Elephas maximus indicus: one gene and its partners. The protein of the gene in region 3 interacts with the protein of the main gene of each other region in a pairwise test. Links are inferred from orthologs where the notes say so. Each region holds a gene or a part of one and is shown on either strand. Other genes may lie near its edges. The genes, in order: SHFL, APOL6 and ADAMTSL4.

What was found.
Region 1: the proteins of ADAMTSL4 (region 3) and SHFL interact in binary tests that used the Homo sapiens proteins (3 or more experiments, as listed by UniProt). The two-hybrid records come from large-scale screens. The link is inferred for Elephas maximus indicus from reciprocal best matches to the Homo sapiens genes ADAMTSL4 and SHFL.
Region 2: the proteins of ADAMTSL4 (region 3) and APOL6 interact in binary tests that used the Homo sapiens proteins (3 or more experiments, as listed by UniProt). The two-hybrid records come from large-scale screens. The link is inferred for Elephas maximus indicus from reciprocal best matches to the Homo sapiens genes ADAMTSL4 and APOL6.

What each region holds. Positions count from the first base shown.
Region 1 is NC_064821.1:28,234,726-28,238,470, reverse strand, and holds the start of SHFL (shiftless antiviral inhibitor of ribosomal frameshifting protein), read right to left. Parts: upstream 2,397-3,745; 5' UTR 2,155-2,396; coding exon 2,134-2,154; intron 1,675-2,133; coding exon 1,551-1,674; intron 1,370-1,550; coding exon 1,320-1,369; intron 1-1,319.
Region 2 is NC_064822.1:179,138,208-179,141,952, forward strand, and holds the start of APOL6 (apolipoprotein L6), read left to right. Parts: upstream 1-1,423; 5' UTR 1,424-1,652; intron 1,653-3,745. UniProt on the Homo sapiens protein: May affect the movement of lipids in the cytoplasm or allow the binding of lipids to organelles.
Region 3 is NC_064821.1:184,674,577-184,678,265, forward strand, and holds the start of ADAMTSL4 (ADAMTS-like protein 4), read left to right. Parts: upstream 1-1,229; 5' UTR 1,230-3,325; coding exon of another isoform or gene 3,326-3,369; 5' UTR 3,370-3,497; coding exon 3,498-3,517; intron 3,518-3,689. Other genes in the region: translation initiation factor IF-2-like, read right to left, coding at 179-1,014, 1,122-1,182, 3,326-3,369. UniProt on the Homo sapiens protein: Positive regulation of apoptosis. May facilitate FBN1 microfibril biogenesis.

The DNA of each region.
Region 1 (3,745 bases), about 160 Mb from region 3:
GAGCTCCTGCTCTGGAGTCCAGAAAGGGACGCAGGGCTCTGGCCCCCCATGAGAGTAGGGCGCCCCTTAACTCATGATGAGCTGATTGAGCAGCACCCACTTGAGAGCCAGGTGTATGACCTTGCACCTGTCATCTCAGCTATGCTCACAGCAGCCCTGAGAAGTGTGTTATCCCCATTGCTCAGATAGGGAAACTGAGGCTCAGAGCTATGAGGGGGCTTGCTGGCGATGACCCTGAGTGAGTGTGGAGCAGCAGGCCTGAATCCTGTGTTCCCTGCCTGCCAGCAGACAGACTGTGAGCACCCCATCCCCAGCACACGTTTGCTGGCATGGTGACAGGTCTGCCTCTGGGGCTGTGCTCCTTTAGCTAAGTGCTTGGGCTCTGGATTCAGACAGACCCAGGTTCAAATCCCAGCTCCACCACTTCCAGCTTTGGAACCCTGGGCCATAATGAGGGGCATCTCAGAGCTCTTAGGTGGTTAGGGTTCAAATCCCAGCTGTTTGCTGTGTGAACGTGGCAAGTGACTTCATCACTCTGTACCTCAGTGTCTTTGTCTGTAAAATGGGGAGGACACCTAATAGGCTCTATCTTGTGGGGTTGTGGGGTTGTTGTGAGATTGTAATCTGTCAACACTTATAAATCCTTCAGCCCCACATATGGGAAGTGCTCCGTCAGTGCCCCCCTTTGCTATTATTTTTATCACTCGTCAACAACTCTACGCCAGGCCTTTCAGCAGGCAAAATCCCCAGTCCACCAGCCACCAAAACCATCTTTCTAAAAGGCAAAGCAGCCAGGTCACACCTGTGCTTCAAAGCCTTTCATTCATTCACTCATTCAACACAGGGGCTCCCTGCTGCACTTCCCCTCCCCCGCCCCCAGTCTGCTCATTCGCAGCCTTTTCAGGTGCCCCTTTCTCACCTTCCAGCCTTTGCTCAGGGCATTCCCTCTTGCGTCCCCTCCGCTTCCCAGGGCTCACTCCTCTCTGTCCTTTAAGACTTGGCATTACCTCCTCCAAGAAGCCTTCCCTGATCTCTAGGGATTTCCCTTATTGACATTAATGCTGGCTCGAGCCACTGCCTACTTTTGTATCTCTCTCTCTCTGATTTAATACAACCAGCATGTATCGAGCACCTCCTGTTTGCCACCTCCCTGGCTGGACGCACAATAGAGAGGTGAATACATGAATGAAGTTGGACCAAGAGTGTGGACCGGCAGTGCCCAGTCCCTCCTGCTCCCTAGGGAGCTCTCCGTGGGTGGGTGGGGGGATCCTCTCTGTTCTCCCTCTTTACCCTGTTCTTGAGGGAAGGGGGCAGGTTACCTGGGCAGGCAGGCCATTACTCAGTTCCTGTCCATCTTTCTGCTTTACCTCTGGTGGAGAGAGAACTCGTAAGTGAAGGGCCCCTGAGGCGCTGTGGGAGTTTCAGGCCCCCAGAGCCCACTGTAGACCTTTCCCGAGGCTGGGGATCCACAGGAGGTGGTCTCAGCGTTTCTTTCCACCCTCGGCGCTCCCACACGCAGCCCTCCAGGCCCGGGACCCCCACCGGCTCACCGTACACGATGGAGCGCCCCACTCCAGTGTGGTCGCTGCCAAACTTCCTCATCAGAGCCCCTGCCTTGCGGGAGGACACCTTCCCATGAAACTTCTCCCGGAGGCGCCGGACGCTCTTCTCCAGCTTGGGCGCGGATAGAGGGGCTCCGATGGGGGAGGAGAGGCGCAAACGCCCCTCCCCCTCCCCCTGGCACCAAGCACCAGGCCTGAACTTGACCCTCGGGTTTGGCCTCTGCCCACCTCCCCCACGGCATTTCCTGGAAAAAGCCAAAGTCCCCACCGGACATTGGGGAATGGAGCGGGGAGGGACTAGGGCAAGCGTCCCAGGGTAAGGCGAGGCCGGCCAGGTAACCTCTGGCCTTCGAACCCTGACCCAGCAGCCCCCGCTTTTTCTCGGGGAGGCCGCATTTCGTTCTAGGGTATGTGGGGGATCACTCTCCTTTCCCACAGTGGCGCGCGCCGGCCAGGGGGAAGGTCTGGGCTTATGATGGGGATTCCCGGGAACTGCGAAGCCACCTCCGCACCCCCTGCCCCTTCCCGGCGTTTCTCGCGGGCCCCCGGCGCGGCCGTCGCCATCTCCTACCTCCACACCTTCCTGAGACATGGTGGCGGCGGCGCAGGTCCCCGCGAGGGTCCGCACGCAGCGCCGGCCACCCAGCTACCTGGGCGCGCCCGTCGATCCGGCGGCCGCGCAGGGCAGGGGGCGGTGCCTCGGGCCAGCCCGCCCTTCCTTCCTGGCCCCCTCTTTCGCTTTCGTTTCGGGGGGGCGGGGCGCCTTGGCTCCGCCCCTGTTCCTGCGCCCCAAACCCAGGCGGGCGCCCCTGGTCCGCGCCCTGCAGTGGAGCGCGCAGACCTCGCGTGGGGGGGGGGGGGGCGGCGCGGCCTCTGCAGTCGGTCACATGTCCCCACGCTGCGCGGGGTCCGCGTCTTCACGTCCCATGTGGGGGCGGGGCTGCATCGGAAAGCCGCTGCAAGTCTCCGCACCTCCACAGCTCGAGGGGACCCATCGGTCGTCACCTTCTTTCCTTTCCTTCCCTCTCTCTCCGGAGGAATCAGGCGCTAATTAGGACCTGGGCCTCTTGGCGCTGAGTTGCTGGACAGGCTATGACCCCTTCCTTGGACCTCAGTTTACACTTCTGTAAAATGGGGATGATGGTAGTGGCTACATTCTGGTGGGGGGTCAGGAGACCTCGGGTAGAGCACTGAGCAGCACCTGGCTTGCTGTGGGCACGCTAATAGTCTTTGAGTCGCGTACTCTGTGCCAGGTACGAAGGGGCGGGTGGGCTACGGGAGGGATACTTGTTAAAAATACAGACCCCTGACCCGTAGCAGCTCTTTGGAATCAGACTATCTGGGGCTCCGGGGCACCTGCATTGTAAATCTGAAGGTCGAGAGCCCTATGGGTCAAGACAATTCTAACCCAGCGCACAGGGGACTGGAGGAGTCCTTAAGAGGGGCTCTGGGCCAGCAGGGGGCGTCAGGGATGGTTTGTCGGAGGAGTTAAGGGTTAGCACAGAGTGCCTGAAGCTTGAGGCCTTAGCCGGTGCCTGAAGTTTGAGGCTGCTCTGTGAATTGCAGGCTGTTTAGCAGCATCCCCGGTCTCTACCCACTTGATGCCAGTAGCATCCTGCCCCAATTGTGACAATCAAAAATGTGTTCAAGCATTGCTAAATGTCCCCTGGAGTGCAAAATTACGTTAGGGTAAACGGCTCCAATTTTTTTTCCCCCCATTTGTACACCCTATCAGGAAAAAGAAAAAGTCCCCGGGTGGTGCAGACTGTTGGGGCTAGTCTCCTAGCCTAAGGGTTAGTAGTTTGAACCTACCCAGCAGCACTGAGGAAGAAAGGGTTGGCAATACGCTTCCATAAAGATTACAGCCAAGACAAATCTATAGAGCAGTTCTACTCTGTAGCACATGGGGTCACCATTAGTTGGAATCCACTCGACGGCATCAAGTGTTGTTTTTTTAAATCAATAAAAATGTCGATTCTCTGTCTCCCATATGGATACTTAATTTATAAATATGTACTAATGTTGTCGTTAGGTGCCATTGAGTCAGTTGCGACTCATAGCGACCCTGTATACAACAGAACAAAACACTGCTCGGTCCTGCACCATTCTCACAGTCGTTGTTATGCTTAAGCCCATTGTTCCAGCCACTGTGTCAGTCCATCTGATTGAGGATCTGTCTCTTT
Region 2 (3,745 bases), on a different chromosome or scaffold from region 3:
TGAGAAGGAGCTGTCCTGACAGAAGAAATGTATCCTGAGTTATTTCTGATCCTGAATTGTAACCTGTTAACTTCCCTAATAAACCCCATAATCATGAGTTTTGTCTGTGTGGCCATCGCAATGAATTATCAAAGCCGGCAGAGACGTAGAGAGTGCCATAGGGGGGACAAATGGTGTCAGAATTGGTAAAAAGGTTGGAGAGAGGAGGCATGTCTGACCTCCGCCTCGTAGGGATCAGCTTTGGGCTGTTGACGTTGATCTTGCTTCTTTCTCCACCCCCTCCTGAAGTTAGAAGGCGTCAGATGCTGCCATCATGCCATTTTATACAAGTGCCGTTTACCTCGTAGAGTTGTTCTAAGGCTCAGGTAAGATTCGTGTAGGAAAGTGATTTTGAAACATCAGCGCAGCTACTGTTGTTGTGTGCTGGTTCCACACTGGGCATTGTGTCACTTACTCACTGGAGCTATGTTCATCCCCATTTTACAGGTGGCAAATCAAGGTCAACTGTAGTTGAATAACCTGCTCAAGGTGATACAACTCCAAGTGGTCTGCTTGCCTTCAGAAACCTTGTGTGACCAGAACTGTTGCTGCAATTGAATGAGTTCCTTGCCTCTCACTGGTCAAGAATGAATAGGAAAGGCAAGGAGACTTTTCCACATGAGCAAAGCTTCATTATTAAAAGAGGCTTGCAAGCAGAGACGAGGAGGGCCTAGGCAACCCTTACTCCCGTCTCACAGAACAAAGGATTTGCATGGGTTCTTAAAGGTTTTTGGGTGGGAAAAGATTTATGTTTATTCATAGGTATAGGCGGGGTTTTCCAAGAGGTGGCCTGTCTGGGCAGAGATACGTTAACTACGGTGTGAGCGCGCACAGCAGCTCTCTAAGATAGCTTCTGTCCCGGAGGCCTCTGGGATTCGTATCAGGACTTATTACGGGGCGTTGCGTCTGTGCGGTCTCTTGCTCCCCGAGTTTGATTCACTGGCTGCAGCTATAGCTCCTCACTGCCCCTGGTGGAAGGTCACACAGTGGTCACAGGTGGATGTTCTGCTTTTGTCCCTGGGGCTGCTTTCATCCCGCTGCTTCTGAAAAACAACTTTAAAGAAGTTTGTGGGCTGTTTTCTGATACCCTGCCCCATGGTTCTGGGAAATGGCTTTGTTTCCTCCTCACCCTGGCCCATTTCCTGTTACTTTGTTACTTTAATTTGTTTATGTCAATTGCACACTGGGGGGCCCCTCTGTCTCCCTGTCTTAGAACCACTCATTACACTGCCCAGTACACAGCTAGGAAGAGGTGCCGAGGAGAGGTGAATTCAAGCCTTCTGACTTTGGTTCAGCACACCCACAATAGTGCGCTGTGCAACTATTAGACAAAGAAGCAAAAAGAAAAGTGAAAGACTGAGCCTTCTCAATAACCCCACCTCTACCAGGAAATGATGTCTTGTGGGTTTTCTACACCCAAGGCTATTAACTTCAGCGCAGTTTTGCAGTTTCTTCCCAGAGCCACCAGCAGAGCCTGGGTCCCTCCCTCTAGTCAGCGAGCCCTACCTGAGATGCTGCCCTTTGTGCCTGTCCATCTGCTGTCCAGACACCAGCTCAGAGACCCTCAGAGATGTGAGAACCTGAGGCTACCAGAGACTGCTTCCTGAGAGAAGGTAGGACAGCAGGCAGAGCAGGGAGGGGCTGCTTCTGGGGCTCCCTGAAGGACAAGCAGCCAAAGGGGACAGCTACCAGTACTTTGGTTCAGGAAAAAGGGTTGTTGTCAGGACAAAAAAACCAACCAACTGCTGTTGACTCTGACTCATGGCGATCCCATGTGTGCCAGAGTAGGACTGTGCTCCACAGGGCTTTGGATGGGTGATTTTTTGGAAGTAGATTGCCAGGCCTTTCTTCCGAGGCACCTCCAACCAGGGCTCAGCCCCTCTCCAGCCAGTCAGTCACTAACTTTGTGAGCTTGGGAAGGGCCTGAGGTTCAACTTCTTTATATGATAAATCAGGATCAGAAATTCTCCTTCACGAGGCTGTTTGAAGTTTAAATGAAAACATGATTAAAAGTGTGGTAATCTTTTTTTTTTTATGACTAGCCCTGGTAGTGCAATGGTTAAGTGCTTGACTGGCAGTTCAAAGCCACCCCGTGGCTCCACAGGAAAAAGTTCTGGCGATTGTTGCAATAAAGATTATGGCCTAGAAAATTCTATAGGGCAGTTCTACTCTGTCACATGGGGTCTCTGAGAGTCAAAATCAACTCAGCGCCACCTAACAACAACAACATGACTAACCAAATTGCATCTTTAGCTGCAATGGCCATCCGAGAGTCCTAGATGGGAATGGCTTGGCTCTTAAAATATAAAAGACTCCATCGGCCATGGGGATTTTTCTAGAACTTCTGTACAGGAATGGTTTAGGAGTGATAGCTTTGTAGGAAAGCGATGTTGGTGACTTGTCTCAGGATTGCAAATTAAGCCCACAATGCTTTCTAGTTCTTGTGAGTTACCATGGAGTAGACTCTGACTCCAGGCAACCTTATGCTTAACAGAACAAAACATCGCCCGCGGTCCTGCACCATTTTCATGTTTCCTGGATTATAAATTTATTTGGAGTAGTTTGAGGAAGGGAGTGGGGGAGTTGGTGATAAAGACTAGGGGATTATCTCAAAGCTGTGTTTTTCAGAGTCATTTAGATCTGAGTTGGATTATATGTTTGAGGGAGTTGGCTTTCAGGGGAAGGAGCCATCGAAGAGCACGGAGGAGCTAAAGCCTCTCCAGGCAGTTAGAGAAAGACTGCCAACACTCTTTTATAAGTGCTAATATTGAAATAACTTCTCAAGTCCTCTCCCACCCATTCCATCCCTCTTCCAACATAACTGTCCCCCACATCCACAAAGCAAGCTTAATAGGGACCTGATCAGACCAAAGAGCTGCCTGCTGTCCCTGTTGCCCTTCATCCCATAGGGTTCACATGAAAAATGGGGGAGGAATCAGAGGGTGCTGGTAAAGAATGGGGCTCTAGACCAAGGTTGCTCAACCTTGGCACTATTGACGTTTGGACTGGGTAATTCTTTGCATGGGGATCGTCCTGTGTATTGTAGGCTGTTTAGCCTGGCCTCTATCCACTAGATGCCAGTAGCATCCCCCTCCCTAAGTTGTGACACTCAAAAATATCTCCAGACAGTGACAAATGTCCCCTTGAAGAAGGAGCAAAATAGCCTGTGGCTAAGAACCACTGTTCTAGACTCATACTAGCTGCGATCACACTTTCCCAACATTGGCCTCCCTGTGCCTCAGTTTCCTCATCTGTAAAATGGGGATAATGCTACCATCTATTTCATCTCACAGGGTCACTGAGAGAATTAAAGGTGTATGGAGTATTTGCCCATGTCTGGCACAAATAAGAATCCATGCCAGTTGCCATCAGGTCACTTCGACTCATGGCGGCCCCACATGTGTCAGAGTAGAACTGTGCTCCATAGGGCTTTCAGTAGCTTAGATTACTGGGTCTTTCTGCCAAGGTACTCTGAGTGGACTCGAACCTTCAGCCTTTCAGTTAGGAGCGAGCACATTAGGCATTTGCACCCTCAACCCCAGAAACCCCTGACCATTTACTGAGTTAGGCATTTCCCTGCATATTTCACTGGGAGGCTTAAGGGGGTGAGTTAATTTTCCTGAAATCACACAACTATGAATGACAGAGGGAAGGGTTGAATTCACTTTACCATGCTGTGTCTATACCAATTATCACGTCTATTTTC
Region 3 (3,689 bases):
TCAGCGCATTCCTTCCGCTACGCCCAGTGTGTAAAATTTTATGGATGAAGAAACCGAGGCTCTTAGAGGTCCCCGAGCCGTCAGAACCACTATGATTCACCACCCAACTTGGGAGAGGCAGAAGTGACTGGGTGGCACCGTTGGCTGCGTGGAGAAAGGAGCTTTGACCGACACGGACCTGGGGTTGGACGGGGCCATCTCGGCCCGGTGCACAGCCTCCATCTGGGGCCCGGGGCTGGTTCGCCTACGCCACCCAGCTGGACCCTTGGCGCCTCTCCAGGCTGCCCCGCCTGGGCAGGTGCCGCGCTCGCACCGCCCACCCAGAGCCGGCCCTGGGCCGGGGGTCCGCGAGTCCGCGAGCCCCAGCCGAGCCCAGCGCGCGGGCCGGCGACAGTGCCCGGGAGAGACGGCTGCCTCCAGCCCAGGCTGCGACCGCCTTGGCTTCGCTCCTCGAACCGTCGGAGGGTGCCCGACACTCAGGGGTCGCCGTGGCCAGCGGCCCCGGGTGGGTGGCCCCGGCCGGTCGACAGGCAGCCGGAGGTCGGCCGTCCCCACCCCGGGCGGCCGAGGGGCGCGTGGCGGCGGCGGGGCGGGGCGGCGGCGGGGCGGGGCGCAGGGGCGGAGCCGCAGCTGGAGGCGGCAGTGTCCCGAGCCCTGTTCTGGGGCCACAGTGGCCGCCGCGGAGCAAGGCTGTCTCGAGAGAGCGCCCGGGCGCAGAAGGGTTAACCGGCCCCTGGGGGCGCGGAGAGCAGGTACAGACCCTCCCTGGGACCCCGGCCACGGCCGCCCCCTCTTCCCGGTCCCGTTAGACCGGCCGCCCCGAACGCGCGCACCGCCCCCGCGCCTCGCGCTCCTTGGTCGCGCCCCCGCCACGACCCCGACCCCGGCACTTAGAGCCTCGGAAGATCTTCCAGACCCTGGGGTCGAATTCCCTGGGGCGGGGGGGGGGGGGTGCGCAGTCTGATCCTGTAGAACTCTGGCCCCATCACTCGGGCGGGGAATAAGCCAAAATTCCTACTCAGTCACATAGTAAAATTGGAAAACATACCCAGGACCTCCCGGCATGCGCCGACGCCGCCTCCCCTCCTCCGAGAATGTGTGCCCCCCACTCCGCCTTTTACTTTTTGAGGGGAATAGGGGCGCTGGGAGGCATGCAGGTGGGTGCCCTTGATCCAGCTTAGCCTGAGGGCAGAAGAGGTCGACCAAAGGAAGGACACCTGTTGGTACAGTCCTCCAGGACCCAAGAGTGGAGGACATGATGAGGACCGAAGAGTTCTGACACAGGACAGGGACTCTCCACCACCAGCCCAGAAACATACTGTTCAGCGGCTCCCTATTTCCCAGAGGTGGGTCCCTCTGGGTGTTGAGGAGTTAGCCCTGCCCAGGTCTTGCTCCTTGATCTTCACTGGCCAGTGTGAGGAGGTGTGGCCAGGAGGAGCCCAGGTTGTCGAGAGCAGCTTCCAGCCTGGCACCAGAGTGTCCACTTCTGACGTCTCCTTTCCTCACCCTGGGCATTGAGAGACACCAGATGAGGGATGTGAAAAGGGGTGTGTGCCTGTTTCCAGAGAGAAGGGGATATCTGCCCCCTGCCCAGCTGTGCAGGGGGGTGGGGGAGGTGGGACTTTTCCAGAGAGGGAGCCAGGCCTGGCCTGGGCCCCAGGAGCTCACGTCACTCCACCCCCCACCCTTCACTTCTCTAGGGATATGCCAAAGCCAAACCCAGCTCAGGACGGGATTATGTGTCCTGGGTAGACCCATGGAGAGAGACAGCGAGATACAAACCTCTGGTAACAGAAGCACAGACAGAGGGAGTACAGAGGGGACCTGGCAGCAGAGAAGGGCAGTGAGGGTCTTCCTCCATCTCTCCTTCGCTTCGACCTCAAGTTAGGGTTTTCAAGAGTCAGGCAGAGATATGGAGATTTGGGTGGAACGTAGGCCCTTCTCGGGAGCCCCCAGCGTCCCGCCCATCAGGGTGTAGTCTCTGACCTCAGTGGCTGGCCTAGCCAGGGGAAGGAGCTGCCATCGGCCTATCTCCCCCATCCCAACCCTGAGCAGCAGAGGTGACCCTGCTTGACCACTCTGGTCTCTCCCTCAAATTCGCAAGTCCTGGGGTCTTAGAGAGGGGAGTGGGTCTGGGTGTTGCTACCCCCAGGCACATTCCTGCCCTCCTCTCTGTCATTTTCCTGCCCTGGAGCTGGCCCACCTCAGCACTGGCTCCTTGGACTCCTCTTTGGGTGCCTTTCAGCTCCAACAGAAACACACTTTTTTTTTCCTGGAAAGCAGAACTAGAAGCAAAATGGTGGGCTGGGGATGGGAAGGGCTCAAAGGAAGAAGGAGGGGGCTGGAGGGCAAGGAGGGGTGGGCAGAGTCAGGCTTTAAGGTGGGGAGGGTTCCAACCCCCACTTCCCCAACCCTCAAAGCTAGACTTCAGGGAGAACTTCCTGAATCTTGAGAATGATAGGCCTGTGATTGGGGAGCAAGGGCAGCCCTGGCAGCCTCTCTCCTCAGGTTCTCCTAGCCTGTCACAGTTGCACATGAAACAAGCCCTCATTGAACCAGTCCAGGATCCTGGCACCCAGTCCATTAACTCATTGCCATTGAGTCAATTTCAACTCATGGCAACCTCATATGTTAGAGCAGAACTGTTCCATAGGGTTTTCTTGGCTGTCATCTTTATGGAAGCAGATGACCAGGACTTTCTTCCACAGTGCTGCTGGGTGGGTTCAGACTGTCAACTCTGAGGTTTGTAGTCAGGCACAGACCATTTGTGCCATTCAGGGACCTCTGGCCAGAGTGGAGCGTAAATCGCAGTGGGAAAATCATCTGTTTCTCTTGAGATTAAACCATCAACCCACTTAGTTTATCCCTTGGCTCGAAAGTTTTTGAGGCAGGCAGAGATGTGCCTGACTGTTCCATAAGGAGCTTAGCTAAGAAGGAAAGAAAAAGCTGGGAGGTAGGAAACAGAGATGGCTGGGGAGGCTCTTGTTTCTGGAAAACCCAAGGGGCTCCTTGTCAGATCCTCGGAGGGGACGTCTGGCATATCCTCACCAGAGCCTCCTTCCTCAACTTTCCAGGTACCCCTAGGGGGCAGGAGGGAGACCCAGATGAAAACCATATTAAGAAAACTCTGTGCTGGCCTAGAAACACCCAAGTTGGGTCTAGGGAGGAGTCAGAGGTTCCTACAGGGCCAGGGGGAGGGGACTGAGCCAATACTTGGGAGGCTGAGGTCAGACCCCCACCCTCTAGCTTCAGCAGATGGACAAAGGCAGTATGACTCCCTGCTCCCACCCTTAGAATCATAAAAAGGTGGGCCAGTCTCTCCCACCCCTCCATCTTCACTCTGAGACAGCCTTCTGAGGGCTCATCCATCCCGACGCCCCAGCTCTCTGAAGACTGAAGTAACCACGAGGCTTCCCTCCCCTCCACGCCCAGATGCCTGAGTAGTGCATTTACCTCCAGTCCCCTTCTCCCTAGCCCTGGGCAATCAGGGAGAAGTGATGGAGAAGTGGGCCGGCAGGTAAGAGGTGGGGCTGCCAGGGTGGGGGGAGCTCTGTCCCTGGACATGAGGGAGGGGAGAGCACAGGGAGAGGCAGGGGAAGTGATGAGTAACTTGTGCTTTCTGAGAGGCTGGTGGTCAGGATGTGGGGAGCTGCTGTGGGTAGGCGTGGTGGTGTAACACCTCGGCTCCT